4 linked regions of the Drosophila melanogaster genome follow. The protein of the gene in region 1 interacts with the protein of each later gene in a biochemical or structural test. Each region holds a gene or a part of one and is shown on either strand. Other genes may lie near its edges.

Region 1 (5,621 bases):
GATTTGGCGGTTAAAAAGTGTACATCCTGTGTACCCCTATTAAGCAATCGGTCCTTTTCAGGACCACCATTCAGTTTTTAAAAGGAGGAAGATTTTCAAAAAGTATTTAATTTTATTGGTCGGGACTCCCAAAAAATATGTTAAACTAAAAATAAATGTCTGTCGTTCGTACTCTTTCAAATAGAATGTGTATATTTCTAACATGGATTTGTACAGACTGTACAAATGGTTTCAGACACCGCATGTACAGCATCACATCGTGGTGTGCGATTGTTTAAAGAAGCAAATTATAGTTTATACCGCATATAGTAGAAAACCCTTACTACATTACCATCTTTACGTTAATAATTCTTTATGATTTACTAATTACAACAAATTGCCAAGCTAAAAAATTTTTCAATTCTTTGGTAATAATTTGGTCGTCCTGAAAAGGACGGTTTGATTGACGATTTTATGTACATGTAGGTTTTTAGCTTAGCCTTTGAAACGTTTAGGCCTTCTTCTCGGTCTTCTTGGGCAACAGAACAGCCTGTATATTAGGCAACACGCCACCTTGTGCAATTGTGACGCCGAAGAGCAGCTTGTTTAACTCCTCGTCGTTGCGGATGGCCAGTTGCAGATGACGCGGAATAATTCTAGTCTTCTTGTTGTCACGAGCAGCATTGCCAGCCAACTCGAGAACCTCAGCGGCCAGATTTTCATTTCGGCAGCTAGGTAAAATGGAGCGCTTGCACCAACACGCTATGCGTAGTTTCCCTTCCGGAGCAAACGGTGAATACGGCCCACAGGGAATTGAAGACCGGCACGGTTTGAGCGGGACTTTGCCTTTCCCTTCACTTTGCCACCTTTTCCACGTCCAGACATTTTGCTTCGCGTTTATTTCACTTAGTTCCCTTTACGCACGGAACAAGAATGCTCGCTTAACCCCGACAGCGAAATATTTATACTTTTCCGTTTGCCTGCGCATTCAGTTAGGGGTGGGTGACTTAGACCTGAATTGACTGCTCGAAAAAAAGTATAAACGTGAACGCGTTCGGGCCCACATTACGATAAGTGAATTGTGTTTGTGAAAATATAAGTAACGTGAACAATGCCTCCGAAAACTAGTGGAAAGGCAGCCAAGAAGGCTGGCAAGGCTCAGAAGAACATCACCAAGACCGACAAGAAAAAGAAGCGCAAAAGGAAGGAGAGCTATGCCATCTACATTTACAAGGTTCTCAAGCAGGTCCATCCTGACACCGGAATTTCGTCGAAGGCGATGAGCATAATGAACAGCTTTGTAAATGATATTTTCGAGCGAATTGCTGCCGAAGCGTCTCGTCTAGCTCACTACAACAAGCGCTCGACCATCACCAGTCGGGAGATCCAAACGGCTGTTCGCCTGCTTTTGCCTGGAGAGTTGGCCAAGCATGCTGTCAGTGAGGGAACCAAGGCTGTCACCAAGTACACCAGCTCTAAATAATTTTCTCCTGCGAATGCGGACAATAATCCAAAACGGCCCTTTTCAGGGCCACAATGTGTTATACCAAAGAAATGCATTTTTCAACCACCAATCATCGAATATGAATTTACAAATAAAACTTATTTACCCGCAATATGGGTAATTGGGTAATGTTCAAATAAATACAAAAAAATCGGGAACGAAAACTGAATGCGACCAACATTCAATGTAATTCATGACATGAAACGTTTTATTGTTGCTGCGAACGTCAGCTAATAAATAAGTGGAAGAAAATAAAAGTTTTTTTCTCTTGCAACGGAACGTTGTAGCCCTGAAAAGGACTTGTTTAAACAAATTTCAGATCTATAAATCATAAATCTAAAATTTCAATTGCGAACATGTACCAAATACTGCACTTTTTCACAATTTACTTTTTGGCAGCCGTAGTCTTCGCTTTCGGCTTCTTGGCGGTAGCAGAAACCGATGCTTTCTTCACCGTCTTTTTGGGTTTTGCAGACACCGCTGGCTTTGCCTTTGACGCTTTCGCTACTACAGCCTTTGGCTTCGCTGCAGTCACTTTCGCCTTTGTTGCGGCGGGCTTCGACTTTATGATTCCAGTTTTCTTGGCATCCTTGGCTTTTGCCTTCTCAGTTTTCTTATTTTCGGCAGTCTTTTTGGTAGCCACAGCCTTCTTAGCTTTGGGCTTTTTGTCAGCAGCCCCAACGGCAGTTTTTTTGGAGGAGACACCAATCTTCTTAGAGGCTACCTTCTTGCTTTGAACTTTTTTCTCAGCAGACAAAACCTTCGACTTTGCCTTCGGATCCTTTTCCTTCTTGGCAGAGGCCGACAGTTTGAAAGATCCAGATGCACCCTTTCCCTTAGTTTGAATAAGCTTTCCATTGACCACGGCCGATTTTAAGTACTTCTTGATGAATGGCGCTAACTTTTGGGCGTCGCATTTATAAGTGGCAGTGATATATTTTTTGATTGCCAGAAGTGATGAACCGCCACGTTCCTTTAAATTTTTAATGGAAGCGTCCACCATTTGCTGAGTTGGCGGATGTGACGGCGTCGCAGAGGCTTTCTTTGCCTTTGTGCCAGCAGATCCAGATGCCTTTTTTTGGACCACTTTCTTCTCAACTGTCGCTGGTGGGGCAGCCACTGGGGAAGCGGACGTTGCAACTGCAGAATCAGACATCTTTTTTTCACTGAGAACACTTTTTTTCTGTTAAAAATGGCTCGCGCGCTGCCTACCAACCTCCTTTGCTCTGATGAGAATCGAGGAGGAGAGCACTTTAACAATGCTACTGACATCAGTCATTTACTATGTCAAAGTTTGCTTGAAGTGTAAACTTTTATTAATTTTTTAGTATTTTAAATCATTAATAAAAATAAGGTTTTAATAGTTCTACACTTTTAAATAATTTTTTCGTCACTTTCCATTTTTAAAAGGATGTAATATGGGTTTTGAGACTTTCAAATGTTGATTGAATTTTTATATTCAAATTTTTAACTGGACCAATTTATAAAAAAACATCTAATAAAATAAGAATCATTGCAAATATTTCACTAATTCGTTATGTTTATTAAAATTGAAACGTTCATCCCCTAGAAGGGCTTCTGAAAGAAGCGTCTATTATTAATTAAGATACTTTATTACTTGATTTAAGTTCACATTGAACTACAGAAAAATTTGCTTTAAAGCAGCATTCAGAAATAATTTTCGATCGTTAAAAATACAGATACTTTCTTAAATAACATAATATTAATATAATAAATAATATTTTCTTAAATTATTAATGTGTTTGCTTGTTATTAATGTGTTTTCATGCATATTTTAAAATAATTTGTTCTGAAATCAATCGATTTCCTCGCCACATATGCATTACCGTCTATGTAGTCAAATAAATAAATCAAATAAAAAATAAAAAGAAACAATTTTTGTATTATCCTTTATTATGTAATATATATTACATTCCGCAACAAAATTAGCCAATTTCCGTGCTGAATTTTACATAGGTTTTATTTTTTACAGGCGTTTGAAGGGACAGTGTCAATTGTCCCGTACGACCTCTTCAATAATAACACTTTCTTCAGTTAACACATGGAAAAAATATAAAATAGCTAGTTTTATTTTATTATTTTCTGTTATTTTATAAATATTGCCGTCATCAATGTAATTTCATTAATTTCAAACTGTCTTACACAGAATTCAGATTTTTTTTTAGATGTTTAAGGTTCAGAGTCCCTTGCCCCGCACGACACTTTCACTGCTTTAAAGGATGTTCGCACAAAGAACAAATAAAAATATATATTTTTATATATATTTTATATTTATTAACCTCTTCTTTAATTTAATAAATGTTGAGCTGACAATTAAAATAAGATTATTTTTATTCCTTCTCTGGCAGAATTAGTATTTTTACATATGATTTAAGACCCAGTACCGTTTGCGCCATAAATAATAGAATATGAATTTTGTTCTTATTTTTTTTAAGTTATAAATAGTCGGCAACAGAAAATTTTATCTCATTGAATCTGGTTTGTGGTCCTGAAAAGGACCGATTATAGAGTACGCTAGCGCTTTATCTGCAAGTTAATGCCGTGTCAGCTTAAGCACGCTCGCCGCGAATGCGTCGCGCTAACTGGATGTCTTTGGGCATTATGGTGACACGCTTGGCATGAATGGCACACAAGTTGGTATCTTCGAAGAGACCAACCAGGTAGGCTTCGCTAGCTTCCTGCAGAGCCATAACCGCCGAGCTCTGGAATCGCAAGTCCGTCTTAAAGTCCTGAGCGATTTCACGCACCAGACGCTGGAAAGGCAGCTTGCGGATTAGAAGCTCGGTGCTCTTTTGGTAGCGACGAATTTCACGCAAGGCCACGGTTCCAGGGCGATAGCGGTGGGGCTTCTTCACACCTCCGGTGGCTGGAGCACTCTTGCGAGCGGCCTTAGTAGCCAGTTGTTTGCGTGGCGCCTTTCCACCAGTCGATTTGCGAGCAGTTTGCTTGGTACGAGCCATCTCCGATTTGGGTTTCACTAAAGTTCACGTTCACTACTTCACGTTTGAAAACACAATAAACGATCAGAGCATTTGCTACCTACTTATATAGCAATCGTGGACGGTGAAAGAGAGAGAGAGAGAGAGAGAGAGAAAAACGGAGGCCATTTCATTTGACGAGCGAAAAGCGAACGAACATATCGTTCGTACTCTCTCGGGTTTTTGTCGTTTTACCTATAAATAGGGGCACACAGAAACGTTGAAATTAGTTCTTTAGTGACTTTCGTGCTGTGCGTGTATAATAGTATAGAACAGTGAAAAATGACTGGTCGTGGTAAAGGAGGCAAAGGCTTGGGAAAGGGTGGCGCCAAGCGTCATCGCAAAGTGCTGCGTGATAACATCCAAGGTATCACGAAGCCTGCTATCCGCCGTTTGGCCCGTCGAGGCGGTGTGAAGCGCATATCTGGACTCATATACGAGGAAACGCGTGGCGTTCTGAAGGTTTTCTTGGAGAACGTAATTCGTGATGCCGTGACCTACACGGAACACGCCAAGAGGAAGACAGTTACAGCCATGGATGTTGTGTACGCTCTGAAGAGGCAAGGCCGCACCCTCTACGGATTTGGCGGTTAAAAAGTGTACATCCTGTGTACCCCTATTAAGCAATCGGTCCTTTTCAGGACCACCATTCAGTTTTTAAAAGGAGGAAGATTTTCAAAAAGTATTTAATTTTATTGGTCGGGACTCCCAAAAAATATGTTAAACTAAAAATAAATGTCTGTCGTTCGTACTCTTTTAAATAGAATGTGTATTTCTAACATGGATTTGTACAGACTGTACAAATGGTTTCAGACACCGCATGTACAGCATCACATCGTGGTGTGCGATTGTTTAAAGAAGCAAATTATAGTTTATACCGCATATAGTAGAAAACCCTTACTACATTACCATCTTTACGTTAATAATTCTTTATGATTTACTAATTACAACAAATTGCCAAGCTAAAAAATTTTTCAATTCTTTGGTAATAATTTGGTCGTCCTGAAAAGGACGGTTTGATTGACGATTTTATGTACATGTAGGTTTTTAGCTTAGCCTTTGAAACGTTTAGGCCTTCTTCTCGGTCTTCTTGGGCAACAGAACAGCCTGTATATTAGGCAACACGCCACCTTGTGCAA
Region 2 (8,000 bases), on another chromosome or scaffold:
ACATATCCAGATTGGGCAGCTTGCCGTTCAAGCCCTCTATTCGCACATCCACATGGTCAATCTCCAGATCCTGAACTTCAATATTCAGAGCCGCTTGCAGCGAACCAGCGCGAGCGGGCAAATTGCCAGGACGCAGGTACGCCTTGCTCAAGTCCAGTTCCCGGTCGCCATCGTGATAAGCCTCCAGCCAGGCCTGCATGCCCAGCTGCTCCTGTTCGGTGATCAGGAAGATCAGATCCTTCGCCCAGTAGTTCTTGCGCCGGGCAAAATCGGCGAAGGCCAGCAGAAGCGGCACGCTGGCGGAAATGTCCGTGTGCACGGAACTGGCAGCGCGATATGGAGCCGCAAAAACGATGCCCTCCGTGGAGGCAATTCTTGGGGCCCTCAATATGCCGTAGATATTCTTGCCGTGATACTCTTTACCGCCGCCAAATGGGTAGCGCAACGTGTAGTTGTGCGTGTGCGTCTCCAGGCCGAACTCGTTCATCTTGGCCGCAATCCAGGCGTGCGGCGTGGTGGACAGATGATCCTTTCGCTCCCGCTGCAGCTCCTCCAGCAACTGGATGGCCAGACGATTCGCATCGATGCGGATCTCCGGATAGACCAAGCCTACAATAGATCACACCAATTGTTAGCGGCTCTCTTTTGGTGACGCTGCACGTAACTCACCTGGCGAAAGAGCATTCTCGGAGAGATATGTCCCGTGGTTGAACTCCGGCAGCGCCAAACAGAAGAACCAGGCCACACCCGCCACATAAAGGGCGTAGCACACCTTGCGAACATGACGCGCCAGTCCGTCCACCAGCTTGCTTTGCGTCGATATCGACGGATCGGACAGCAGGCCCATTTTGGCTGCCCTATATCCTGTATATATCCCGAATCACAACAACACGAATCGGACAAGCCGGCGGAATTGTATCGATGCGGGCGTTATCGATAACCTCGATAACCGATTGCTTATGACGCTAGGGAGGAGAGGGTTAGCAATGGATTTTAATGCTCGAAATTTTAAACTTGTTTTTCCAATGTTTTCGATATTTCTATATATATTTTTTATTATATCAAAATATACATATTAAGCTAACCTACAAGAAATGTGTTGCAAAAATAATGAAAAGAATAACCTGTCGTTGTAAATATTTATTTAATTTTTCCTCTTTTTGACGTTAATGTAACGACGCATTTATTTGAGAAAGTACATCATGTTCTCAGATTGGAGTTTTTCTTTTTTACAGTTTAAATCATTTATTATTGTTCATTAGTCAGTAGGAATCGTTCAGTTCTTTCTGAACTTAACCTAATGTGTAGCCTAAAAGATATTATGGATTCTCTTCCTTAATTATAGTGTATAAAAATGTACCGTGGAGAGATTATGCTATCTTACGTGTAAGGAGTTCATAGAGATGTATTCTCTTCAGGCGTCGGCATATCGGCTGCTGTGGAAGTTTATTTGGTTTTTAACAAGTCCAGAGTTTTTCGAGATAAAGTAGTTAAAGATATATATTTCAAGAACACAGAAGTTTTTAAAATTTTTAAATGGTTGTTCCAAATTCCCTCTCCAAAAACATTAGCCAAACGAATTAGACATTTGGTTCTATCATTAAGAGTTACAACAGCCTATCCGTAAAACTCCTTAACTATAAAAAAAAAAAATTGTAAACCAAATGTTAAGTATTACATTGAACCTTCTGATGGTTCCATTTAGATATATGACTATACATTTTTCGTTTGGAGGGGTGCAATAGAATAGCTTATTCCTACGCTTTCTTTAAAAAAAAATAAAAAAAAAAAACCTAATCGTCATCGTCAATAACAATTATATGCGATGATAGCAGAACGGGGTCTCCAGGTTCCGTATGCTAGCCGGAATTTCCCGGAGCTCTGACCACTGCCGCTGCAGTTTGCGGACTCCAGACGAGGTAATCGGTGTCGATGGTCAGCTTGGGCTGCTTGAACTGCGGCAGCTGGAGGTGGTCTTGAATGGTCTTGGACGTAACGCAAATGACATTCTGGCCCTTCCAATACTTGATCATCTTCATGGACTGCAGCGTGTAGATAATGTCGTCGTGGGTGATGCCACTCATTTCGCTCAGCTCCTTGATTGTGATCTGCTCTGGAGCGCAGCGGGTTTTCATCAGCTCCAGCAGCGTGTATGCCCAATAGCTGCGATAGCTCAGCCTACCCAGATCCGAGAGCGGTTTCTCCGGACTACCGATTACGCCCTCCTTGCGCGACAGCTCATAGCTAAAGGCTATTAGTAGCTTTCCAAATCCCTTACGCTGATGCGGCGGCAATACCAGAATGCAGGCCACGTTGTAGTTTTCCAGCGACTTCTTTTCCTTGGAGAAATAGCCCACAATGTGACTGCCCTCCTTGTCCGTCTCGCAAAGGATGTAAAAGAGAAACGGGTCCATGTCGAAGTATAGAACCTTGTGGTCCAAAAAGAGCTTGGCCATCAGACACAAAAGTTGGCAGTATAGTGACTCCTCCTTGCCGTTCACCTCGTAAATGGATATATTGCCCTTGCGGTAGATCTCTCTTCCGGGCGGACGCCTGCGGTCGCATTCGTGCAGATGATAGGCATAGCTCGACCTGAAGCGCATGTACTTTAGGCAGTACTCGCAAACATATAACGTACGTGCCTTGCCATATTCTTCGGGGAAGGGACTAAAGTACCAGGTGTCGATCTCGTAGTTGCCAAACTGCAGCTTATCAATGTACTTGATCTTCGTAATGGACTCGTGCTCCTTCTCCAGCGCCGCCTGCGTGGCGGTCAGCTCAGCGTGGCTCTTCTGCACGTGGTTGATCTCATCGTAGCGCCGCTTCTGGTAGCGTGTCATCTTGCGGTCGCTGTAGTCATAGCGACTGTTCTCGCAATAGGACAGATAGTAATCCTTGTTGGCCGCACGCTTCTGCCGTTCGGATGAGGCAGCTGCCGCCGCGGCGGCCTGTTGGGCGAGCATTTCCCTGCTAGTACTTGGCTGATCGGGGGCTAATGGTGGCGCTGGCAGCACGGTAATACCGCCCAAGTCATCCGCATTGTCCGAGATCCTATGCCTGCCCACCCATCCGTCCAGGCGGCGATTGAGACCAACATAGTGGACGTAGTACTCATCGGGAGCGGCCGCATTCTCAGTGGTGCGAGACTGAAGCACCTGGCCACGGTGCACGGTGCCATCCTCGCGCCGAATAAAATAGATCTTGTCGGGATTTTCGCTTATATCGATCTTTTGCATCAGAGGGTCACCTGTTGTGATGACCGTCTCCCTGGAAGTGTTGTCGTGCTCCATGGTCAAGGCATCATCTTCGTCCTCCTCTTCCTCTTCATCGTCATCGCTGCTGCTAGTTTCGCTGCTGTCGTCAGAAATGGCCTCAACGTTGGCGCTAAGTACGGTTTGAATGGGCAGAACTACGGCTGGCGGCGGCATGTTGCGCTGGCGAGGATCACGCGGCGCCAGGCGGGTGGGCAGGCCAGGTGTCGATTCCTGCATGTAGCGAGAGCGTATGTAGGGGGATAAATATACTGCTGGTGGTTCCTCGCCGTCATCTGTGGGCGAGGCGGGAGTCTCGGGGACTTGTTCCGCTGCTGGAGGAGGTGGTGGTGGCGGTGGGGCAGCCAATGGCAGCCCCAGTTGTTGTGTCCCTTTGAGATGAAGAGGAGCTGGAATGGTAACCACCTCGGTGATTATTGCATTGGGAGGAGCATCGGGATCCATAACGAAGTCGTCAATGTTGGAACCACTGCCGTAGGGGTTGATGTCGGCCACGCAGATTACCGTATCGGAGGAGGGCTCATCCTCGGTTTCAATTTCCTGGTCCACCACCTCTTTCTGCTTCTGCGGCTGCGCGGGCTCCTGTGCCTCCAATTCAACTGGACCTGGTGACTTCACCTGATCCTGACCGTCCTCCTTCTTTTCCTCCTGCTGCTGCTGCTGTGGTTGCTCCGGCTCGGGCTCCGGTGGTGCCTCCTCCGCCTCGCTAACATCGTCGTAGCGGGAGGAGCTGGACGACCTGGTGGAACTAGTCGATGTGCTGCTCGCCGGCGTGCTGTCCTCCGAAATGGGACTGATGTCGCGATGCTGGCGCTTCGCCGGTGGCTCTGACTCCGCCGCGGCCTCCGCTTGGACACCGCTGAGGTCGAGCGACTGCTCCGCCGACTGATCCGAGCCGCTGACGTCTAGACTGGCGCTCAATTCGGCCGCCGCATCTTCAACCGGCGTCCTCGGCGGACCGCCAATTGTGTACGCATCGGTTGGCTCCTGTTCCGGCTCATGCTCCTCCTCAATCGGCTGCTCCTGCACGTGGCCCGCGCTGGGTGTCTGTTCCAGCTCCGCTTCAGACATTCTTAGCCACTAGATTTGTCCAATTGCGTATTTTTGTTCACTCTTTAGGGAAATGAAACGAAATACGGCGTGAAATGCAACCCTGATTTATCACAACATGTCCAGATAATCGATTATTAATCGGTGGTTATCGATGTACAATACTTTGCACCCTTTTTGAAATTACCCTTCTGGATTTTTCTGTGCATTCAGTATTATAATATATTTTATTTATCCAAAACCTTCAGAGAAAGCACTTTAAAAAATTGGAACTGATTTCGAAATTTTTATTGAACATCTATCCTACAGAATTAACGCGCAAACAATTATTGGTAGTTGATTTGTGTACATTGCTAAATACAGACAGCTAAAAGCACGGCATGAATTTGGAATTCTTAAAAAATCTTAAATGCATAGATAACAAATGAAGAGTCGAGCTCTCTGTTACGATAGGGAGTTCCTATATGCAATAAGCCGTACACAGAGTTTGGATTATGCGGAGACCATTACATGAACCCGCCGAGTATAGGTCAGATCATCGTGGGTTCCCGTACTTATATGAGTTATGTATATATATCTATATAAATGTGACGCGTGTTTGCTATGGCCACCGTTCGACGAAAAGGATTTGGTTTCGGATATTCATATTCATCACATCAAAAGTATGGACTAGAATAATACCGACGACCTACACCTGACTAGCGCAGATTTAGCTGCCTCTGCTGGCCACGATCGTAGAATAAAAGATAGGCGGGGACGCTCAACACCTCGTCGATGCTCACCTCCCGCACAATTGTATCCGATGTGTAGTACCACCTAATAAGGATAGCACAGAATTAGCATAATTATTACACAGAGGCAATGGAAACCATACCGATGTGCGTTCCGCAACGAGCCACGCCTGTAGGTTACAAAGTGACCGCTGTTTGCCTCCCCGGAGTGCACCACCACGGCCAGAAGCCGGTAAAGATTCTTGGGGAACATCGTGCCAAAGCCCTCGCCACCACCAACGCCATTGTTCATCGGCAGGCTGGAGGAATACAGCGACATTGTCGAGCCCCAGGGAGTGCCAGCCTGTAATCATGAGCAAAAGTGTTTGTTTTAACAATATGCTAGTTACTAAATGTAAACAGTTCTTGAATTGAATGCCACTACTCTTTGTACACCAATTAGAAAAGGAAAGACCTATATTCTATAGATATATCCTATACATATATATCCTTTAGATATATGTATTTAAATGATCATATATAAGGATAATTTTTACAGGGGAAGTTTGTTATTCTGGGGCAAACATATGCAACACACGCTCACCTGGCTATTGAGATGCGGCTGCACGAAGCTGTAGGGCGCCATGGAGAGGCTCTCGGGGAAGTGTACATAGTCCTTCCGCTTGCACACCTGTCCAGTTGGCAGCCACACCGTCCGCGCCACATGGATGCACAGGCAGGCCGGTAGTTTAGCGAACGTAACCGATTTGGTGTGCGTGGTGGTCTCGTTGCAGGAGTCACACTTGACATCGCTCAGATCCTCCGATGTGATATACTCGCTAAGCAAGTGGCCCAAACTCAAGCCAGTTCTGCGTTGCGGCGGCAGATTTAGCGTTATGCTGTCGAACTTATCGTACCGAACGGCCGACTTGGAGCCGCAGCCATTGCACACGATCTGTGCGCCCATGGCGCCCTGAAACGGATGCGCCACTTGGCTGGGCATCATGTTGGACCAGATGGACACCCGACCTGGTCCGCGATGCAGGCGCTCTAGCGATCGACAGGAGCTGGACACCCGGCGATTCAGACCCTCATCCTGCTGCTGTTGGGATTGTGGAAGTCGCGGTCGCGACGAACGCTCGCCGCCCAACATAGGCGTAGCCAAGGAATCCGGATTGCTGACGAGCGGAAAGCCAAAGGGTGTCCCTGGCGAAACGGCATCCAGAAGCACGGATCCCAGGCGATCGTTTCCGTCGCGTTCGCAAACAGAGGCAGGCGAATCCGGTGTGTGGGCCTCGGAACGCACCAATCGCTGCAAACTGGTGCTCTCATCATACTCCATGTTTAAGAAATCAGTGAGCATGGCACTGGAGGGCCGGTTCGGTTGATCCCCGATCCTCTGGCTGGCTCCCAGTCCCGCTGCCATGGAGCTAAATGATCGAAAGCCCCCTACTGGCGTTGCTGTGCCTGCCAAGCTGCTGTTATCATCGTTATCCGTGGGCAGAGCATCCGACAGACAGCCGAGGGGCTGTGGTCGTATGGCCTCCTCCTCCAGGCAGGTCAATAGCACGTGGAACAGCTCGTGGGCGTCGTGCTCCTCCTGTGGAATCACCCAGCCCAGGGCATTCAGAGCCCGGAGAACGGCTCCCGGTGAATAGGGATCGCCGCGCAGAGTGGCATGGGTGCCATTGACCACTTCCAGAGTGTTTAACATCGACGTAATTAAGCTTTTTCGATCCGGCGAGGCGTTGTTGTACAATTGCAGCCAGGCAATGAACTGGGGACAGGCGGCCATCGCCTGTAGCAGGGTGTTTAGGAAGCAGGTCAGTCCAAAGTTGTGGAGACCGGCAATTTGGCCGCGTCGTTGACGCAAACGGGAACCTGCAAATGTTTCGCTGGAGTAGGGAACTACGCCATGGAAGATCTACTACTCACCCGAAGGACCCCAGAAAACGAAGGCTCCGACTACGGCGGCTACCGTCACTCCGGCGGCCATTAGAATCTTCTCGCTCTCCATGGCTTGAGATTTCCGATGGCTGGTTTTCCGGTGCAGATCACTGCGGTACCGGGAACTCCCAATCCCGCCGCCAAAATCGCACACAGACTAACTCTAGTTAGGAATTTAGACCGAAAAAATTTTTGTGTCTCTTGATGTGTTGCAAAGCGATTCAGTTGTTAACACCACAACGTGCGGCCATTACGCAACACTGGCGCGCAATTATCGTTAAATTTGCAGAGAAAATCAAGTATTTTAAAATTCAACCGAATCGTTGTACATGTGAATGTTTCTACTATAAGCATTAAACAAACATAAGTTTGACAGCTTAAATTTGTAAACGTAGAATATATTTCCCATACTATTGTATCGTCTATCGATAGCGACGATTTGATCAACTTTCGATAGGCACCTCGAACAGCTGTGTGGAAAGGGGATTGTAATAAAGGAAAACAAAGTAGGCACAACAACCAAAGTTTTCAATCGAAACGGAAACATTCGGATATCAGTCGTCGTTCTTAATAGTTCAGATTAGAATAAAAATCCTCCTGGAGGAGCATAATTGAGTGAAAATTAACTGCAAAATTTGTCTGTGATTGTGGAAAGTGAATCAGCTGTTTGGGAAAAGTAAAACGGAATACTCTGGAACCTTCTCGTCGTTTCTTCCTATTGTAAGTATTCGGATTGGCTTTCATCTTGTTTTAATGCAGCCACTTTGCATCGTCCTTGTGTCTATTTCCCAATTTTCCAATTTTCCCCAGCTGACTTGCTGCGCAATAGGAAAAGCAACAACAACGAAACATAAATACATACACACACATACACACACTCGCATGGACCTAATCGCTTCTGTTTTTGTTGCTACTTTATTGCGCCGTTTGTTTATGTCGTCTATTCGCTGCGTGGCCGTTGTGCAATTTGCTCCCATTTTCCACATTTAATTTTGGAATCTGTGCCACGCAGCTTGCCAAA
Region 3 (7,264 bases), on another chromosome or scaffold:
TCGACGAGGTAGCGCTGCAAATAAAACTTGACCACTCCTCCTCTAAGGGCAATGGCCACCAGGGTGAGTCCCAGATGGGTCAAGGGCAGCGGTAGGAGGCAAACGGGTAGATCGGACATGGGCACCTGGTATAACAGCTTGCCCCGCTTTGAGTAGCACAGATAGCGATTGTCCATGGTGGAGGCGATTATCGTCTGATCGATGGGCAGCAGTAGGAGGCCGGTTAGGGGGATGCCGAGCTTGAAGATCTCCTGTCCCTCCGATTGGCTTTTCCGCAGGAGGTAGACACCGCCATTTCGCGTGGCCACCACGATGCAGAAATCCGTCTCAAAGGTTCCCTGCACGGAGATCAGGCTCGGCACGGCCGTCTCATCATCGCAGGCCTTGCCCTGGTAAACCAAATTGAAGCCCTGCGGCTCCAGGATCATGATGTGCCCGGTATCGGTGGCCAGGACCAAGTGGGACGGGGGATTGGCATCGCTGGAGATGCGCTTTATGCAGCACATGGCCACAATGTTGCCAACCCGACCCACTGGGGAGTCCTTGTGCGTGGCAATGAAGTGCTCCCGCTCCTGCTCGCCCATTTGCAGAAGTCGCTGCGATTTCCGCGACAGCTTGGAGTGGTCTATGGTTTTTAGGGAGTCAAGCAGGGCGGGATGGGCACTTGGCTTCACAACCGGCAGTTTTCGCCATACCTCCAGCTCCAGATCCTCGGAGTCCTGTGCGGGAATCGTGTACTTGAAGTATGGCTTTAGGTGACGATAGAAGAGCACTGACTCAGCGATGGCCACGGCAATTACTGGAAAATTGTATTCATTATGGAATCTAATTTAAAAATATTAAAATGCAACGTTATTTCTACCCGGCGTCTTGGGCTCCGTTTCGTCGATGTAGAGACTTTCAATGGCCGCTGGAATCCCCGGCAGTGGCTGCTCGTGCTTGAGTTTAAGACCACGGAAAACCTTCAGCGTGGCAGTGGGCTCCTCGGCGGCATTGTCCAGTGAAATGTCCGCCGCCAGCAGCCGGACATATCCGTCGCACTGCACGTCGCTCAGGGCCATGCAACTGGTGAGGGTGGTGAGATGCGGTGGAGGAGCCTCCTCCGCCGTGTCCACGTGAAGCCAGTTGGGAGCACCGGCCATGGCAGGATCTTGGTGAAAAATTTGCAGCACAGTGTGAAAACGAACAGGTGATTCAGGACATGCTTTTGTTTTGGTTTTTCTTGTCCTTAGCAACCGGGATGACAGCACATTTTTTGTTACTTATTTGGGTTTTTTCTTAAAAACACAAAATGATCGTCAGCATTATTCTTAAATGCTAACAGGGTAAAGCTACGTATAACTAAAAAATCATTTGGCAAAAGGTAAAACTGTGATCAAATTACTGATGATAGAAAATTTTATTTAAATTGGCCGCCAAAAATGCATTTTGTCTGGTCACACTTAAGGCCGGCCTGCTAAAGACGTGCAAGCATCGACAGTATGTGTTATCGATAAGTGCGAGGGAATATTCGATACCCACGTCAATTGCTTATCGCAAAAAACATTCGTTATAAATATCATCTCAGCGACGCCAGCAGTTGAATTCAATATTTAACATTTTGTATACATAAGTGACTGACTACGGCCCTATTTAACTGCAAGTAATGACGGAGCTAAGGGACGAGACACCGCTCTTTCACAAGGGCGAGATAGTCCTTTGCTACGAGCCGGATAAATCGAAGGCCCGTGTTCTTTACACCAGCAAGGTAAATACACATGCACACACACACACACGCGCGCGCATTGAAATGTCAAGCAAACGTCGTAGGCGAAGTTTTCACAAATGATTTTCCGTTTCCCGCAATTTTCCGTACATGCCGCAGGTGCTAAACGTCTTTGAGCGCCGGAACGAGCATGGCCTGAGGTTCTACGAGTACAAGATTCACTTCCAGGGCTGGCGTCCATCCTACGATCGCTGTGTGCGCGCCACCGTTCTATTGAAAGACACCGAGGAGAATCGCCAGTTGCAAAGGGAGCTGGCCGAAGCTGCCAAGCTGCAAATGTAAGATAACCCCCTAGACATGCGTGGAATACCTCTCTAACGAGTTCCCCCTTCTTTTTCGCACAGTCGTGGTGACTACTCCTACAAGGGCACACCCGATAAGCCATCGGCCAAGAAGAAACGCGGCGGAAAAGCGGCCCACGTTGAGGAGCCAATAGTGGTTCCAATGGACACGGGACATCTTGAGGCGGAGCACGAAATGGCGCCCACTCCACGAGCAGCGGGCAACCGGACGCGGGACAACAGCGGTGGCAAGCGAAAGGAAAAACCCCCGTCCGGAGATGGCCGATTAAAGGGAAACCGGGGCAGACAAACAGAGACCTTTTATAACAATGCCATAAATGATGTATCGGTCTATAACCATGTGCCACAGGAGGATCGCATTATGATGCGAGTCAGCGAGCGATTGCGAGAGCTTATAGAGTACGATCGGAATATGATCAAGGTACTAGGCAAACAGCACGCACTGCCCGCCCGCGTGCCCATCGTGACCATCATGGAAAACTTCGTCAAGCAGCAGGCCGTGGAGCTAGCCATTAGCATTAAACAGGACAGCTCGAGGGCCAGGAACACGCAGAGTCGCAATGCCAGAATGGAGCGGGAATACGATCGCGTTATGTCCACGTTGGTTACCACTCAATATCAGACTTAACAACCCACTTATACTCTTACTTATTAACAGTGTCTGCATGCTGAAGGAGGTGGTAGACGGATTGCGTATCTACTTTGAGTTCCACGTGGATGACCACTTGCTGTATACGGAGGAGAAGGAGTATGTCCACAACTACCTCACAGACGACAACATGCGCAACTGCAGCCTAATATTGAACAAGTCGTACGAGTATATCAATCCCAGCGGTGACACGGAACTGATCGGTCTGGACGGCACGCCAGTGGTAGAAGGGTCGGGCGACACCAATGGACAGATCGGAGTTATTAATATCGGCGGTCCGGAGTACGAGAAGCAGTTGCAAAAATGCCTGCTCTACATTGTTACCGCCAGCGGGAAAAACACTGCGCAGGCCTATGAGAGGACTTCCCCATATACGGCTGCCTACAAACTGCCCGTGGAGATGCGTGGATTTCTGAACGAAACATTCAAGTGGCGGCTTTTGTCAGCGGAATCGCCGCCAGAAAAGTCCATGGTCTTTGGCGCTCCCCACCTGGTTAGGCTAATGAGTATGTACAATCTTTCTTGCATTCTATAACACACATTAATTCATGGTACTTGCAGTTAAAATGCCCATGTTCTTAAACGCATCGCCGATCAGCAACAAGAAGCTAGAAGATCTACTTCCCCACCTCGACGCCTTCATCAAGTAAGTCTAAGACCCCTCCCTAGTCCATCACGAAGCTAATCTGTTGGTTTTTCAGCTACTTGGAGAACCACAGGGAGTGGTTCGACAGGGAAAACTTTGTTAACTCCACTGCCCTGCCCCAGGAAGATCTGCAGCGGGAGCTGTTGGACTCCCTGGATGGGATTGCTGCTTAGCTTTAGTTGATCGTAGTTATCTAGTTTATTTATTATTACGATTAAAGCTTATGCTCTTTTATTTAAAGATTTGTAATTGTCGTTTTGGTTTCTTCAACTACACACTTTGTAAACAACGCACTTCTATAAAAAAGTTTCCTAATGTGATCGTATAATCGAATAATGCCTATAACTATATATGTTAAATATTGAAAATACGATTTTAACATTTTTTTTTGTTTTTTTTTTTTTTTTTGCTTAACCTAAGTTTTAGTTGAGTAGTACATGCTAGTATTTTTGTCATGCCTTGTTTTTTGTGCTCAAATATATTTAAGAGTTGGAAAGTTGTTGTCTTTTGTATTAAGGATTTGCGGACCTTGAGTTGGAATGTGCAGGGAATTCTTAAGATTTGTATAATTTCTCAAAATATTGCAACTGTAACAACTATGTGTGTGCTGATTTGTGTTTCAGATCCTGCTTAGAAATTCGAAATTGTCGCTTGGACGGCTTGGAGTTGGATGCATTCGCGTTTGTAACATGTGTAAACTTGGGACGTTAACTTGGACGATGACTGAACTGGACTGGACTGCCGGCCCTCACTTCTGTCGCTTGGTGGCACTGCTGGCCGTGGGTCGCATGAAGCTGCTCACGGATCGACTGCTGCTAGTGCTCCTCTGCTGCGGACTGGGGTTCGCACTCATCCTGGCCTGCTGCTGCTGGTTCAGGGCATTTTTCACCAGCACCACGCTGCGAGCGGCGCTCATTCGGGACTGTGACTGGGGTTGGGACTGGGACTGGTTTTCCTTAAAACTGGTGCTACCATGGATACTCGATTTCGGAGCCGTGTTGGACATCTTGCTGCGCACCAAGATCACACTGGGTCCCACACTCGACCCGCTACTGCTGCTCCTGCTGGCGGGGACTCCACGTCCCTGGGTAGGTCGCAGATTCTGGGCGGCCAGTGGTCTTTTGCTGGGCGAGGAGTCAACGGACACAGTGGCTCCCGCTCGCTGAACGGCGGGCAGTCGTCTCACTACAGTTTGAGTGGAGGCTCCACTGTTGATGGACGATCGCGAGGAGCGCAGACTGTTTCTCGAACTGCTCCGCTCCACGCCGGCTAGAACCTGTTGCTCCTGCGGCGAGCGTCTCACAGTGGATGCGGATCTCAGCGGAGCTGCACTGGCCAACGGCTGACCGTTGGGCATGCGCAGCGGTCTGCTGGCGGAGAGGCTCCTCTTGACCGTTGCAGTTTGGGTGGCAGGGATTTGGTTTTGTGACTTGCTGGCTGCCGATCCTGAGGATCCGGAACTCTTCATCCTGGCCTGCTGCAGGCGATCGGCCAACCGACTGCCCATCTGGCTGATGCTGGTGGTTGTGGGCTTTTGCTTCTGCATCGGCCGCTGGCGGGCAGGAGTCTCGTTTACACCCTCGTTGCAGGAGGAGTTTGTGCTCTCGCCCTTTCCGTGAGACGGAGTGTCCGACACAAGACTCTGAGTCTCCTCGAAGCCTTCGTCATTCAGTTCGTGGTGACCACTGGCGGACAGTTTTAGCTTGGAGGGTGTGATATCCCGTGGCGGACTCCAAGGTCGTTCTGGAGTTCCCGTGGGTGATTTAAGATTCCGAATGGCCTCCCTTACATCCTCCTGATTGATGGAGCTTATGTGGCGACCCACCTTCTCCAGCTTGTTGATCGTGCGCTCCTTCTGCTTGGACTTCTCGGGTGCGGGTGGCTCTGGCTTCGATGGAGAAGTCTTTGCCTCTGCTGTGCTGGTGGTCAGCGCCTCCTCATTGCCACTGCTGTAGTCCGTGGGTCTTTTGTAGCGTCGTGTGCGGCGAGCCAGGGCATGGCGATCGAAGTGACCCGGCGCATCCTGTTCCGCTGGGTTGATCTTCTCCTCCGTCGCAGCCTTTGGTTTATCCGTCATGCTCACCGTGACCACTGTGGTGGTGGGCGTGGCTATGACCCGTCGGCTCACTGGTGGCGTCTCTATATTATCCGCATCCACGTCCTTGGAGGAGCCCTGCATCTCGTTTTGGGTCTTGTGGTGACTGAGCAGGCTGGCAAAGGTGTCGTCGGACACTTGTGGCTTTGGTGACTTGGGTGGCAGTGGATGCTCCTCCGTTTTCGCAGGCTGCAGTTCCCGGCTGGAGGATCGCCTGATATAGATTTGCAACCGCTCGTTGCTCTTGTCCCTTTCACCCTGTTTCTGAATAAGGGACTTTCGACGATCCTCCTCGGCTATCGATTGAAGTGCTATGGGACTCGGCTGTTCCTGCGATCGCTGTCGGCGATGTTGACGCAATGCATCGTGCGGCTGGGCATCGGCAATGGCCTGCAGATTGGCCACCACGTCCGTCTGCTCCAGCGTCCTCGAGGGCTTCCAGTCGGCATAGACGCGCTGATATTTGCCGGACTCCTGATCCATTCTATTAGTGGAGTTAGTGGGATTCGTGGTCGTAGGCGTATTCGTTGGCGTAGCTGTCGTCGTCGAAGGCAGGATCTTCTCCTCCGGCAAGGGGTCCAGTTTTCGTTCGTTTTCTGCGAACATAGAATATATCTAAGAGATCCATTTGGTCCTGAGTTTGTGAGGGGCATCTTACCAGTTTCGTTTTCGAGCGATCGCCTATTGGCGTTGACCAGACGACGCTTCCGCCTGTACTCCTCGTTTTGCTTCTCATCGCTCTCGTTGGATTGAAGCCACGTCTCGATCTTCTGGCGCCACTCACGGGATATTCTGTAAAATGTAAATGATAGATAGATATATAGATAGATACTATAAGATACTTAATGTGAATCTCTTACCTTGGTTTCGCATCCTCGTTATTAGATGGCGTCTGAGCAATCGCCGATCCACTGCCCGTGGGCGTATTCGCTGCCGTTGTGGGCGTTCCAGCTGTACTGGCCAATGGAGATTGCAGTCGCTCCTGGACATTTTGCTGCTGCTGCTGAAGAAGAGGAGCCGGGGAGCTGGCCCGTTCACGATCCATGCCAAAGTCAATGTTGAGCAAATCGGGTCGTTTGCGACTGGAACTTCCGGAGCGGGCACGACGAGCCCACGAGCGATCCAAGCTGCCGTAGGCCGCCTTCCGCTCCCTGCTATTGTGTCCATCGTGGTGAGGACCCGTCGAACTCCGAAGGAACTCCATCAGGTCATCCTCCTCGGCAAGAACTCGACTACGCCGACGCCTCAGACTTCCGTTGGGTGTGATGTCCGGAGAGGCTCCGTCTTGTTCCAGGCGGATGAAACCATTGCTGATCTCTCCGGATCCCAGGTGGCGGCGACTCAGCGCCGGACTAGCCCTAGGATCGAAGATAGCATCGCCCAAGAAGGAATGCTCCGAGTCCGAAACTGGCGTTCCAGCCTGACCAACTGCAGAATAACTAAGTAAGTAAATAAATTTCTTTCAAGTAGATGATGCACTTACTCTGTCTGGCTCTGCGGGCCAGCTGCTCCTCGCGCTGCTTCCTCCTAAGCGTGGCCTGTTGCTCCTGCTGCTGGCGGCGCTCGTTCTCCTTGACCGCCTGCTTGAATTTATCACAGAAATTGTGGAAGATCTTGAAGCACTCCTCCAGCCGGAAGGTGGCCGCATCGTCGCAGAAGAACTCGGACATTTTGAGCCGCATTGACTCCACTTGTTTCATGCCAGCTTGGAGGACGGATAGCTCGGATTCGGCGGCCTGCAAAAAGTCGGCCATTTGCTCCTTGATGTCCACATCCGTGGCAGGTTGTTCGATCTGTCTGGCTATTC
Region 4 (10,764 bases), 8.3 Mb from region 1:
TAGGAGCGACTTCCAATCGCTCCGTTTACGACTGAAAGTTGAGGGCATGCTGCCTGGGTTATTTGCTTGCGCTTGCTTCTATATAAAATATGATATTCTTGGGTCCTATATAATCGGCGACGGCTTATTTTATGTACACTGTACAAGCCCATGCTATGCAATCTCCCCATATATTCATGTGAATACATGTGTTGCATGCATTGTTATTACTCTTATTTTTATAAAAATATGCGTGATTTAAAAAAAGTCACTGTCATCAATTCAATCATCTTTATACAATTGTTGATATAGAACTCTGACTGATATAACATGAGCGTACGCCTAAGGTCTACGGTTTACAATTTAATCGGTATAAAATAACGCGCTGTGAGACTTGAGTTAGTTATACAATTGTATCATGGATGGTTGATCCATTCTAGGCAACGTTTGTGTTTCGATTTCCAGTGCTAACAAAATACTTCAATATCTATATATCTATATATATATATATATATATTATATATGCATACGCAGTAGTGTACACGTATAAAAGTGTGTGTGTGTGTTCTATCGGTGATAACTTTCGTTTTGCTTTGAAAAAACTAAAATCCGCGCACTATAAAAACGGTGATTTGTTGGTCTTGTGGGATCTGGCTCTGCCCGGATTAACCTTGCACTTAAGCTGTGCAATAAGGTCGGAAATTTTCAGTGCTGGGCCCACCTTCATGCCCAACAGTGGCATGATATCGTCCTTGGTCAGCTGCAGGAGTCGCTTTCCGTCGATCTTGTTCCGGCTGAACGTGTCACAGTGGGCTGTGCAATCGTTCACCCGCAAGAACTGGGATACGTCGTACACGTTCCATGTATCCGGCACCAGCTCCAAGTGAGGTTCACTCGAATCGATGTCGGCCAGACGCGGAATGTACTTATTATTCGTCGCAGAGGAGTTCTATAGTGGGGTAAAAAATAAGGACTTAATTAGTTAACGTATGATGTTGCATTGCTGGTTGGGTGTGTGACGGAACGATTGGATGTCGGTGTGTTGGGGCTATTGGGGCTGTTGCAAGTACCAAAAATAACAGTGCGTAAATTAAATTATATACAAATTGGCGTTTTATGAACGATTTGATTTTGGTTATATACATTTATGCAGTTGTGTTACGGAGCTTTAGCACAGTGGTTTAAGTTGGGTCGGACAATCTATTTCATATGAAATAACAAAAACTTAAGCTAAACAAGGCAAACTTGGATTAATATGGAGTATTTTGGTGTATAAGCTGATGCTTCTATTTCGAAAAAAAAAGGCAAATAAATTAAAGGGGAATTCCTCTAAATAAAATTTAATTAATGTTTAAAACAAAAACCACTATGCTCTTTGGACCTCCCGTTTAGATGCGTGAGCTGAACTTCAGGCGGGCAAGCAGGCTGGCTGGCTAGATGGATGACTCTACGCACTATTATTCCGCTAAGTACTCACCGCAATGTAGCTAGTGGCTTTGCGACCCACAGTTGGTGGCGCAGGAGATTTAGTAGTAGATTTCTTTACCGTTTTGTTACTGCCCGTGGCGAGAGTTACCAGCGAGGCGGACCCACTTCCACTGCCCGATCCAGCGATCAGATCACTGGACGACTGTGTCGTTGACTGCTCGGAGATGTGGCTGGTGCTTCCGTCTCCATCGCCATCCGCATCGGGATCCTCCTCGTCGCCTTCCTCCTCGGGCTGATTGTTCTCGTAAAAGGCAGCATTGTGATGCTCCGGCTTTAGCTCCAGCTTGATGCTCAGCTTGGGTAAGTGCGGCGTGGTCTTGAGCGCAATTGTACGCGATTTGACTGGAATAACATTTGAAGATGCATGATGATATACAGGAATTCGAATGACTTTGATTAGAAAAAAAAAACTTACCCGACTGAGTATTATTATCGGTTGGAGTTTTGCCTCCCGCTGCTCCCTTTTTGGGCTTTCGCTTTCGCTGTATTTTGGGCTTTGGTGCCGGTTTCGGGGCCTGCTGATGTGCTACTCTCGGTGGGCCCTCTAGCTTATGGTTGACCAGTACACACCATCCGACTGGATATATATCGGCTGATTCGCAATCCAACCACTGGTCGTACTCATCCGTCCATCCGTCAAAGTGAACCTTGAGTAGTCGACCAACCACTCGCGCCACCGTGGCCACGCAAACGAGTCGGGGATCCATGAGATCTGCACACTCCAGACTCATACCCACCTCAAATCCATGATCGGGAATAATCCGATGAAATAGATGCTGGCCAGCGGCTACGGCTCCCGTGTCGCGGAGGTAACCCTCCCAGGTGAATGTACGAGAGTCGTAGCCGTTCGGTGGGGTAACCGAAATGTTGTTGACGGAACAGAATCCAGCCGGAAAGATACACGGACTCTTTTCATGGTAACAGAACCTAAAAAAAAATACAACAGAAGCTATTTAGATTTGCCGACTTAAATTGAAGCTTTTAAAGCTCACCAATCCGACCCTGAGGCATCCGGTTGGTAGGAATCAATGCGTATCATCATGTATCCGAACTTAAGAACCGCCATTACTGTAGCCGGGCATATGGATGAAAGGTTGAGTGGATCCACCGCTTCCAGCTTCATGCCCTCCACAAAGCTATTGGTTTTGCCGTCACTGTAGTATTCGTCGAAGGTGAAGTTCATCTTAAACAACTCGATTGTGGCATCGTCCTCATGAACCTCAATCATGGCTTCGCGACCAGCTGGAAGTAGGAATGGTATGTAAAATGTTAAAATGGTAATGTAAAAACATGTATGCAGAAAAAGTAAATATTATTACCTAACATGCGCTCCAGATAGTCCTGCGGTGCAGCCAGATTATGGCCTACTGTGGTTGCCCAGCCAACTGGATGGATGATGGGCGAGTCCTCGTGACACCAAAAGCCGTCGTCGGAATCGAAGTAGCGCAGGAAGAGGCGCTTTCCCACGATTTTGGTGACGGTGGCCAGGCGCACCTGCGAAATGCGATCCTTGTCCACGCACTCGAGATTCAGGCCAAGGCGGAAGCGCGACTGGAGGCTGTCGTTGATTTTGTTGTAAAAGTTGGAGGGAAGGGTGCGGGCTCCGGATAAACGTCCCACCAGAAAGTCCTTCCAGTCCTTGTACTTGTGCTCGATGGTGCGGGGCGGAATTAATGGCTTGCCCCGAGTGGCGCACCAACCCACCGAATGCACCTCGGCATTGCAGAGGTTCACCCAGAAGTCGTGCGAGTCCGTATCGAAACCCTCGTAGCTCATTAAGGCCTTATAGCCTTTGATTTCCAGGATGGTGGCCACCCAAAACGAGGTAGGAGTCTGACCCGGTTGGATCACTTCGATGCTATCGCAATCCGTATTTTCCACTTCAACCTTCATGCCCACGCCCAAATTGTCCCATACCTCGCAACCGGGTGCATGAGGAAAACAAGTGACGGGTGCCGCATTGAAGTTCTCCTTGCTAAGGCGGGGCAACCAGTCGTAGGAGTGTGTGGGATCATACATGCGCCGCCGAATGCTGATTATCTTCTCCATTTGCGGACACGGTACGGGAAGGCGCTCGTATTTGGGTATTTGCGGCAGGTCATCCTGTGGGTAGATGTCCTTAAAAAGTCGCAAGGCCTTGGGCGTGGGTGCTGCGCTCAGATAAGAATTGGGTGTGGATGCACCCTCCTCGGTGCTGCCCGGAGCAGTGGCATCGCCCACTGCTCCGCCGTTTAACGCAGCAATTGTTTCATCTGCTGCCATTTGTACATTATTGGCAGCTGCGTCGCCGCCCATTGACATGGGTTCGCCGAAGCTATTCAACTGGGTAATCTTTGATTGATCCGTAATGCGAAAACGATAATTCGCATTCTTAATGTGCGCCGCATGCAGATCGAGCTCAATATCCGACTGCGACTGTTGCTGATCGCCAGGCAAATCGGCTGACTCCGAACCCGCTCCAGGATCCGGGGAACTAGTGGTTGCCTGGTCTCCCTCCATCTTAGTGTTAAGTACCAACGAATATAGTTCGCCTCGGGCACAGGCCATGCTGCAAAAACGTCGCGATTTTGTGTAGAATGTGTGCTTCACTCCAATGGCGCCACAACGTTTACAGACAGCTGTAGAAGAAGAAAAAACGAATCGTTTAAGTGCATATTAATGTAAACGTTAATTTCGTATTTAATTTAAATGCTATCATGGTATACAAACCCAAATTCTTGCAAAACAAACCCAAAACCATAAAGATAAGTGAAACTAAGAGTAGGATTTAAAATAAAAAGCTTGAAAATTAATATCGTGTAGAGTGGATCGATTGCAGATTTACAGGTGGTTTTCATTGTTTAAATAAACGAATCATTACTAATTACTTAGAAAGAAATAACTATTTACTTTATCAAATACATAAGCTAGTAGACAGAGCAAGCCTTGAAAGATTGTAAATACAAGGCAAAGGCTTTTGGAATTTTAGATAAGTTCAATGTACATCAAACTGATGATGTTTAATAATATATGATCTCAACTAAGATCTCTACCACTTATCGTTACTTATCGTTTACTTTTCTGCCCGCAATGTTCTAATTAAGAATCGACCCACTCTAGTGCACAGCAACCTTACCCATGCCATCTTTCTGTATGGGGATCACCGAAGGGTCAATGTTGCCCCTGTAGGCGATGGGTGTCTTCAGCACCAGTCCTGGCCTGTTAACGGGCTCGATCTTGCGCGTCTTGCGCTGTGATCGCAATGCGGAGGACGTGGAGGCACTGCAGGTGGCGGTGGTTGCGGTGGAATTGGCTCCCTTGGCCGTACTATAGGTGCGCTGCATTTGCTTGCTGGATGTGTTTTCAGTGCTGACCATTATGTTGCCAAAGGCATTGCCATTTAGCGTACCCATCGCAGGGACCAGAGTTGTGCCCAGCAGCTTGTGGTGCAGCAGGCCATCGGGCAGTGGAACCAAAAGATCGTGCTCGACTCCAGGGACGCCCAAGCTTCCGGGCATCTGTGCCATGCAGGAGGAGGAGGACTGCGAAATGTCCTTATCGGAGGAGGTCATAAAGTCGGTGCCATCGTACGAATTATTGTCCTCGTTCATCATCACAAAGTCGTCGATGTTGATAATCTCTTGCTTGGGCTCCAACTCGGATCCATTATCATCAAAGTTATTGTCCCTCTGACCGTACACTTGGTCGTCATCGTCCACGACCGCCTCCATGGCCATGCCAACCATGCCGTTCTCCACATCGTTATCCATTGCCTCCGCATAGTTCTGGAAGACTGCCGCCGCCGCCGACTGCTGGAGCAGTTGCTGCTGCAGGCCGCCCATGTGGGCAAATCCGTACAGGTTGTTCGAGTTGGTGGCAATCAGGGTGCCCGGCTGTACACCCAGTGCCGCAGCAGTCGCCGCCGCTTGACCAGTGAAATCTCCCCCCATTAGGCTCATCATCGGATTCATGTCCTTTTTTTGAGCATTGTGGGTTTTGGAGATTGGAGGTGGTTCGGGTTGAGGATCGACCATTGGTTATGTGTGTTTTTGTGTCGAGATTTAAATTGTAACCAATATATAAATCAAAGAAAAGAAAGTAGAAGAAATAAGTAAACAAATTCCAATTGTTTATAACTGAGACAGACAAAAAAGATAGTTTGGAAATTTGGCCAATCCCCAAGGAGTACACGTTGAAACCTAAAGAATTTGGGTTTGTTTTCGACTCCGAGGACTATCAAATATAATGGGGTGCCTTAGTGATAGACACGTATCTCGTTTTCGCGATGCTCATTTGAAAGCATTTTATATTTATTAGTCTTCGAATTGAGAGATTGGCTTCTGAATCAAACCGTCTGCACTCACCAAAGTTGGCTGATGGGCGGAGAGGTCCTCCATGACAGAGAGTCCAACAGTGGGATGACCCAGCAGAGTGGCCGCATCCTCCAGTGTAATGCGCTCCGAGTTGTACTGACTACTCATCCACATCATGCGCAGCTCGGATGGGTTCATTTTAAGCCAATGGTGCTATCGATTCCGGATTGGTCAGTATGGCAAAAGCATTTATGGGACAGCTTTCTGGGTTCTCTTCAAAAAGTATTGCTTTCTACTGCTGCGTGTCGCGTTCCTTTGTTTTTCGAACTCGCATTGACTGAAAACAAACATTGAAATAGTTTAGTGTTTTGAAATAATAAAAATTGGTCAAGATGGGGCGAATTTAAAAAGTAAATCCCTATTTATTCCTATCTAAAAACTACGTAGTTATTTACTTAGTACTTTTTAAGCTGCCTGCTAATTCGAATTTTTAAAAGAATATTATGTTCATATTTAGAAATCTCCGTATCTATTTGACGCTGATTGCTAATCTTGCTGCAATTTTATGGACAATGCAACATAGAATGCTCCCAGTTTGTTTGGTTACGAATAGCTCCTGGAACCGGCGAATGTTCCGGCCATATGGGCTGTAAATCCTGACCGAATCCCAGTGTTCCTCGTTGTTCGTTTTGTTTGCCTCCTTCTGTTCCCGTTTTCCTTTTTTTTTCATTCTACTTTTGCCTTTTCTGCACGCAGATGCTGCGCGGTGAGGGAAGCGTACGGAAATGCGATTGAAGCCTGTCGTAACGGTCGGAATTTCAGCCGCCGCGTGGAGTTTCACACAACTGAATAAGGTTCGAGCATATATCCGATTTATCAGAATTTTTGGTTACATTTCATGGGTTCAATCTCGAAAAGTCAATGAAGCGTTTGCGCAGACAGCCAACGCGAACAGAAAAGAAAATTTACGACGTTGCTGCCCCTGGATGCAAACTTACACTTTTGCACGTTGGACGCGTTCGGATTGGGTTTCCCCAGTTGCTAGCACTTGCGGTATGACATATTATTGGATCTTCAATCGTTTAACAATAGTTTTTAACAGATTTTTGTGTGCTAACTTCTTTCGCATTTGCGCGAGCAGGGATGGCAATTATACGCCAGGGCTACACAGTCGCACAACAGCGTTTTGGCATTATTTTGCCCGCTAAATCACCAGGGATGCACAAGTGGTCGCGTTCAGCGAGAAATAATGCAGAGTGATTGTTATCGATAAGTGTACAATACTGCTTATCTCAGTAAAAACACAATTTTAATCGAAATCGTTGTACCTTACCAATATGAATTGGAGAAATTAAGCGCTTTCAGTTATAATTGGTTTGTTTTGATAACGCAACCTATAGTTTTATAAGTTTTTTAGGTACCATAAATTATTTACAAACAATTTTTTTATTTTAATAAATCACCTAATGCTGAGTCACAGTCACTTAAAATCATTAATCGGTGATCTGAATGCGCCCATTCCAACGCTTATCAACACTGTTTGGCTTGTTTTGTTGTCAAGCAACCAGTGTTGGCACACAACGGAGTGAGAAAAATGAGTAGAAAATATAATTAGTTGAATAATAGCCACAAATAATGCCAGAAAATGCATCCAGCTCGATGCCCACAGAGGCAGGCTTCCGGAGCATGCGCAGCCAACTGGCGGGCAGCACCTTTGGCCAACGGCGCGAGGACATCTTTCGACGTCTACAGGAAAGTGCGCATAAAATCTCACAGAAGTTCAGTGGCAAAGAACTTGCCACTGAGCGGGATGAATCTGTTCAGGAACTGTGCGAATCCCTCGAGGAACTAATGTCCTACGGACTTAGGCAATCGGCAGGCACTTCCTCCTTCAGCGCCGCCAGCTTCATCCAGAACATGCAGGAGATGGTGTCCGGAAATGCGGGCGGAGGCAGCAACAACAATGACGCCACTTTCTGGGAATTCTGCCAGACGCATTTGACGCCCCACGAACGTCAGAGGTATATGGACCTTAAGCAGATCTGGACGAATGTGGGCAGAGGACGTGCCTTCATACGCGCCACACTGAACGAGAAGCGACTGCATAGCCATGTGCTCACCTGGCTGAGCGACGAGGAGCAGCTGCATCGATTTTACACACCTTGGTCCCTGCTACTCAACGATGAGGCGGCCAAGAAGCTGCCAGAGATCGTAGACTCCCTCAGTGATGTACTGTTCGCCCTCAATGTGGACACCACTGAGCTTAATGCACCCAGGAGATCGACGCCAAGTGTTGCCGTCAAAGAGGAACCAATTATATTCACCACCAGTCCAGTGCCGGTGGTGGGACGCCAAAAAAGACCTGGTATTGCGGTGGAACGACCCATTGAGTGCGTTAGCTCCACAGAGGATTTACTTGGTGCTCTAAAGCCCATCGAGTCGGTGGAGGTTCAGCAAATACTCTCCAAGGAATCCATCGAACAGGAGTTAGCCCAGCCACAGGAAGAAGTCAACTTGGGTCCCTTCGACCCCATTGAACCCGAGCTGGAGTTTCTCAAGACGCCCTTGCCAGACATTGGCGCGCATGTTGGAGAGTCAGAGCTCTATGAAGACCGAAGCGACACCTCCTCGCAGTGGAGCAAGTCCTCCTCCTCTGCCAATTGCTTGGCTAACAGCCAACAGCAAGCTGCGCTGGAAGAGCATGTCAACCAGCTAAACGAAAGATGCGCTCTGCTGGAAACCCGTGTGGCGGAGCTTAGTCTTCAAAATCGCCTGCTTATCCGAAGGCTAACCAAACAGTTTGAAGAGACCGGCATCGACCCCAGCTCATCGCTGTGCTCCAATTTCCTGATAACCATTCCGCATGTAAAGCTGGCAAAGACACAACGATCTGGTTCCCACTACACTTACGAAGTTCACATCACGATGAGGCAGCGTTTGGAGCACTGGACGTTTTTCAGACGCTACAGCGAGTTCTACAAGCTGCACAAGTCACTGCTTAAGACCCATCCGGTGGTCAGTGCCGTGGAGTTTCCACCAAAGAAGCATTTCGGCAACATGAACCTGGTCTTCGTGGAGGAACGCCGCCAGCAGCTGCAGATTTATCTGCTCAATCTGGTGGAGACCCTGCCGCAGGTGGAGGCCTGCAAGTCGAAGGCGGAGCTGCAAAAGGTCTTCCCCTTCTTCAGGGATAGGTAGCAATCTTTACCGAATCCAAATTGACAAAGGAAGCTCGAAAAGAACAAGTATTCGCAACATATTTTATCTATTTCGTTGTAGATATCTTTATCTATATGTGTAATAACGGAGTTGGTCCAAGTGTTGTAATCATTGATATTAAATAAAGTTAAGCCTTTTTCATCTAGTAAAGTGTTTTTACTTTCAGTCTTTAAATTTTTAACGATCTCTTGATTTTAGAAATACTATAACATTTTCTAACTTTGATATGTAAGCGAAATTAAATTAAGATTATTGCCGACTATACAAATTAAAAACTATTTTCACTAAGGTAGGTCAAAATAAAATTAAATTCATTTGTGGTATTTTATATATGAATAATTTAAATTAGTAAACTAAAATCAGCTGTTTGGTTTGTCTAACAGTCGAAAGTACGGGCACACTAGCCGCCGAACAGCTGAGTTTGTTGTTATCAGCAATTTGAGTTTCAATTGCGTGTACTTTTTTTTGTCGGCGTAATTGATTTCTGCACCATGATCGAGTGATCGGCTGGTTTTCCGCGGCCTCCCACTATCCCAATTGAAACAGCGCACTCCGTACGCGTGACTCCGGCAAATTTGCTGCGCACAGAGCTGCACCAGCTAATTGAATTAGTGCAGCGGAAGGTGGATTTTCAAGGCCGACCATGTCGGGAGTCGCCATAGCCATCAATGCGGCCATTTCGGGCGCCGCCTACTGCATGACAGTCCGGATGATACCCCGCTTCCGCGAGATGTTCATCAAGGCCAATCTCTTTGGCAACGATCTGTGCAAGAAGGACAAGCCGCAGGTGTAAGTTCGCTCTCCTTTGTTTTGTAGGTTTTCTAACTAAAACGCTTCCTAAACTCTAGACCTGAATCCTTTGGTGTGCTTATTGGCTGTGTGTTCCTGGTGTCCTTGTTTCTGTTCATACCGATTCCCTTCGCCTTCGACGAGGCAGCTGCCACGGATGCGATTACTGGAGGCAAACCAGATACCTTTCCACATGATAAGGTAGCTATCTAATTGATAGATGTCTTTGTGCTCCACCTTATCGGCTGTTATTCCCCACACAGTTCGTGGAATTGATTGCCGCCCTTCTTTCCATTTGCTGCATGATCTTCTTGGGCTTCGCCGATGACGTTCTCGACCTGCGATGGCGCCACAAGCTCCTGTTGCCCACCATCGCCACGTTGCCGCTGCTAATGGTGTACTACGTAAACTATAACTCCACGACGGTCATTATGCCCAACTTTGCAAGGAATCTGATTGGGACCTCCTTGAATATAGGTAGCTAAGGTTTTCCAGAAATGAAAATCAAGAGATGAAACCTATTTTGATTTCTTCAAGGTGCCTTGTACTACGTCTTCATGGGCATGTTGGCGGTATTCTGCACAAATGCCATCAACATCCTGGCGGGCATCAATGGCCTGGAGGTGGGACAATCCTTTATTATTGCAGGCTCCATTCTGGTCTTCAATGCCATTGAACTGTTGCTCGGTCACCAGGTGGATTCGCATATATTCTCCATTTACTTCATGCTGCCTTTCCTGGCCACCACCCTAGCGCTATGGAAGTTCAACAAGTGAGTAATCCAATTGATTTTTATTTTTATAAATACTGAATTGATCTGGAAGGTCAACAAATTTTCGTCTAATTATAATTAGGGTACGTTAGTAATAAAGTAATAACACAAATTCAAAATTGCTTCAAAATTGTAACCAAAACTAAGCTTAAATTTGCTTGCCTTCTGATAATTGGTATTAATATTTAAAGTAAGTCTAAAAAGCTTTTTCATACAGATCGTGTG

Evidence for each region.
Region 2: of the proteins of His4:CG31611 (region 1) and mof, one has a biochemical effect on the other in vitro, tested with the Drosophila melanogaster proteins (3 studies listed by BioGRID).
Region 3: the proteins of His4:CG31611 (region 1) and msl-3 form a complex in vitro, tested with the Drosophila melanogaster proteins (2 studies listed by BioGRID).
Region 4: the proteins of His4:CG31611 (region 1) and Sfmbt form a complex in vitro, tested with the Drosophila melanogaster proteins (3 studies listed by BioGRID, with this or other methods).

What each region holds. Positions count from the first base shown.
Region 1 is NT_033779.5:21,424,093-21,429,713, reverse strand, and holds His4:CG31611 (histone H4), read left to right. Parts: upstream 1-4,708; 5' UTR 4,709-4,764; coding exon 4,765-5,076; 3' UTR 5,077-5,121; downstream 5,122-5,621. Other genes in the region: His4:CG33907 (histone H4), read left to right, coding at 1-14; His2B:CG33908 (histone H2B), read left to right, coding at 1,091-1,462; His1:CG33804 (histone H1), read right to left, coding at 1,869-2,639; His3:CG31613 (histone H3), read right to left, coding at 4,054-4,464; His2A:CG31618 (histone H2A), read right to left, coding at 5,551-5,621. UniProt on the Drosophila melanogaster protein: Core component of nucleosome. Nucleosomes wrap and compact DNA into chromatin, limiting DNA accessibility to the cellular machineries which require DNA as a template.
Region 2 is NC_004354.4:5,872,410-5,880,409, forward strand, and holds mof (males absent on the first), read right to left. Parts: upstream 4,445-8,000; 5' UTR 4,344-4,444; coding exon 1,860-4,343; 3' UTR 1,431-1,859; downstream 1-1,430. Other genes in the region: GAA1 (glycosylphosphatidylinositol anchor attachment 1), read right to left, coding at 1-609, 670-847; Usp30 (ubiquitin specific protease 30), read right to left, coding at 5,021-5,138, 5,197-5,396, 5,637-6,913, 6,968-7,049. UniProt on the Drosophila melanogaster protein: Histone acetyltransferase that catalyzes the formation of the majority of histone H4 acetylation at 'Lys-16' (H4K16ac), an epigenetic mark that prevents chromatin compaction and constitutes the only acetylation mark intergenerationally transmitted.
Region 3 is NT_037436.4:7,119,804-7,127,067, reverse strand, and holds msl-3 (male-specific lethal 3), read left to right. Parts: upstream 1-1,534; 5' UTR 1,535-1,645; coding exon 1,646-1,747; intron 1,748-1,864; coding exon 1,865-2,043; intron 2,044-2,109; coding exon 2,110-2,667; intron 2,668-2,725; coding exon 2,726-3,222; intron 3,223-3,277; coding exon 3,278-3,362; intron 3,363-3,417; coding exon 3,418-3,535; 3' UTR 3,536-3,855; downstream 3,856-7,264. Other genes in the region: BBS1 (Bardet-Biedl syndrome 1), read right to left, coding at 1-799, 863-1,142; form3 (formin 3), read right to left, coding at 4,111-6,053, 6,116-6,249, 6,318-6,885, 6,941-7,264. UniProt on the Drosophila melanogaster protein: Component of the male-specific lethal (MSL) histone acetyltransferase complex, a multiprotein complex essential for elevating transcription of the single X chromosome in the male (X chromosome dosage compensation).
Region 4 is NT_033779.5:13,169,857-13,180,620, forward strand, and holds the start of Sfmbt (Scm-related gene containing four mbt domains), read right to left. Parts: upstream 6,901-10,764; 5' UTR 6,813-6,900; coding exon of another isoform or gene 6,681-6,812; exon of another isoform or gene 6,678-6,680; intron 6,614-6,677; exon of another isoform or gene 6,567-6,613; intron 6,527-6,566; exon of another isoform or gene 6,367-6,526; intron 6,097-6,366; 5' UTR 5,958-6,096; coding exon 5,811-5,957; intron 5,510-5,810; exon of another isoform or gene 5,421-5,509; coding exon 4,583-5,420; exon of another isoform or gene 4,371-4,582; intron 4,086-4,370; coding exon 2,787-4,085; intron 2,710-2,786; coding exon 2,460-2,709; intron 2,395-2,459; coding exon 1,883-2,394; intron 1,810-1,882; coding exon 1,457-1,809; intron 929-1,456; coding exon 596-928; 3' UTR 1-595. Other genes in the region: CG43925 (uncharacterized protein), read left to right, coding at 6,681-6,812, 6,901-7,032; CG5439 (uncharacterized protein), read left to right, coding at 7,395-8,957; Alg7 dolichyl-phosphate N-acetylglucosaminephosphotransferase, read left to right, coding at 9,622-9,767, 9,827-9,968, 10,031-10,244, 10,305-10,539. UniProt on the Drosophila melanogaster protein: Polycomb group (PcG) protein that binds to the Polycomb response elements (PREs) found in the regulatory regions of many genes.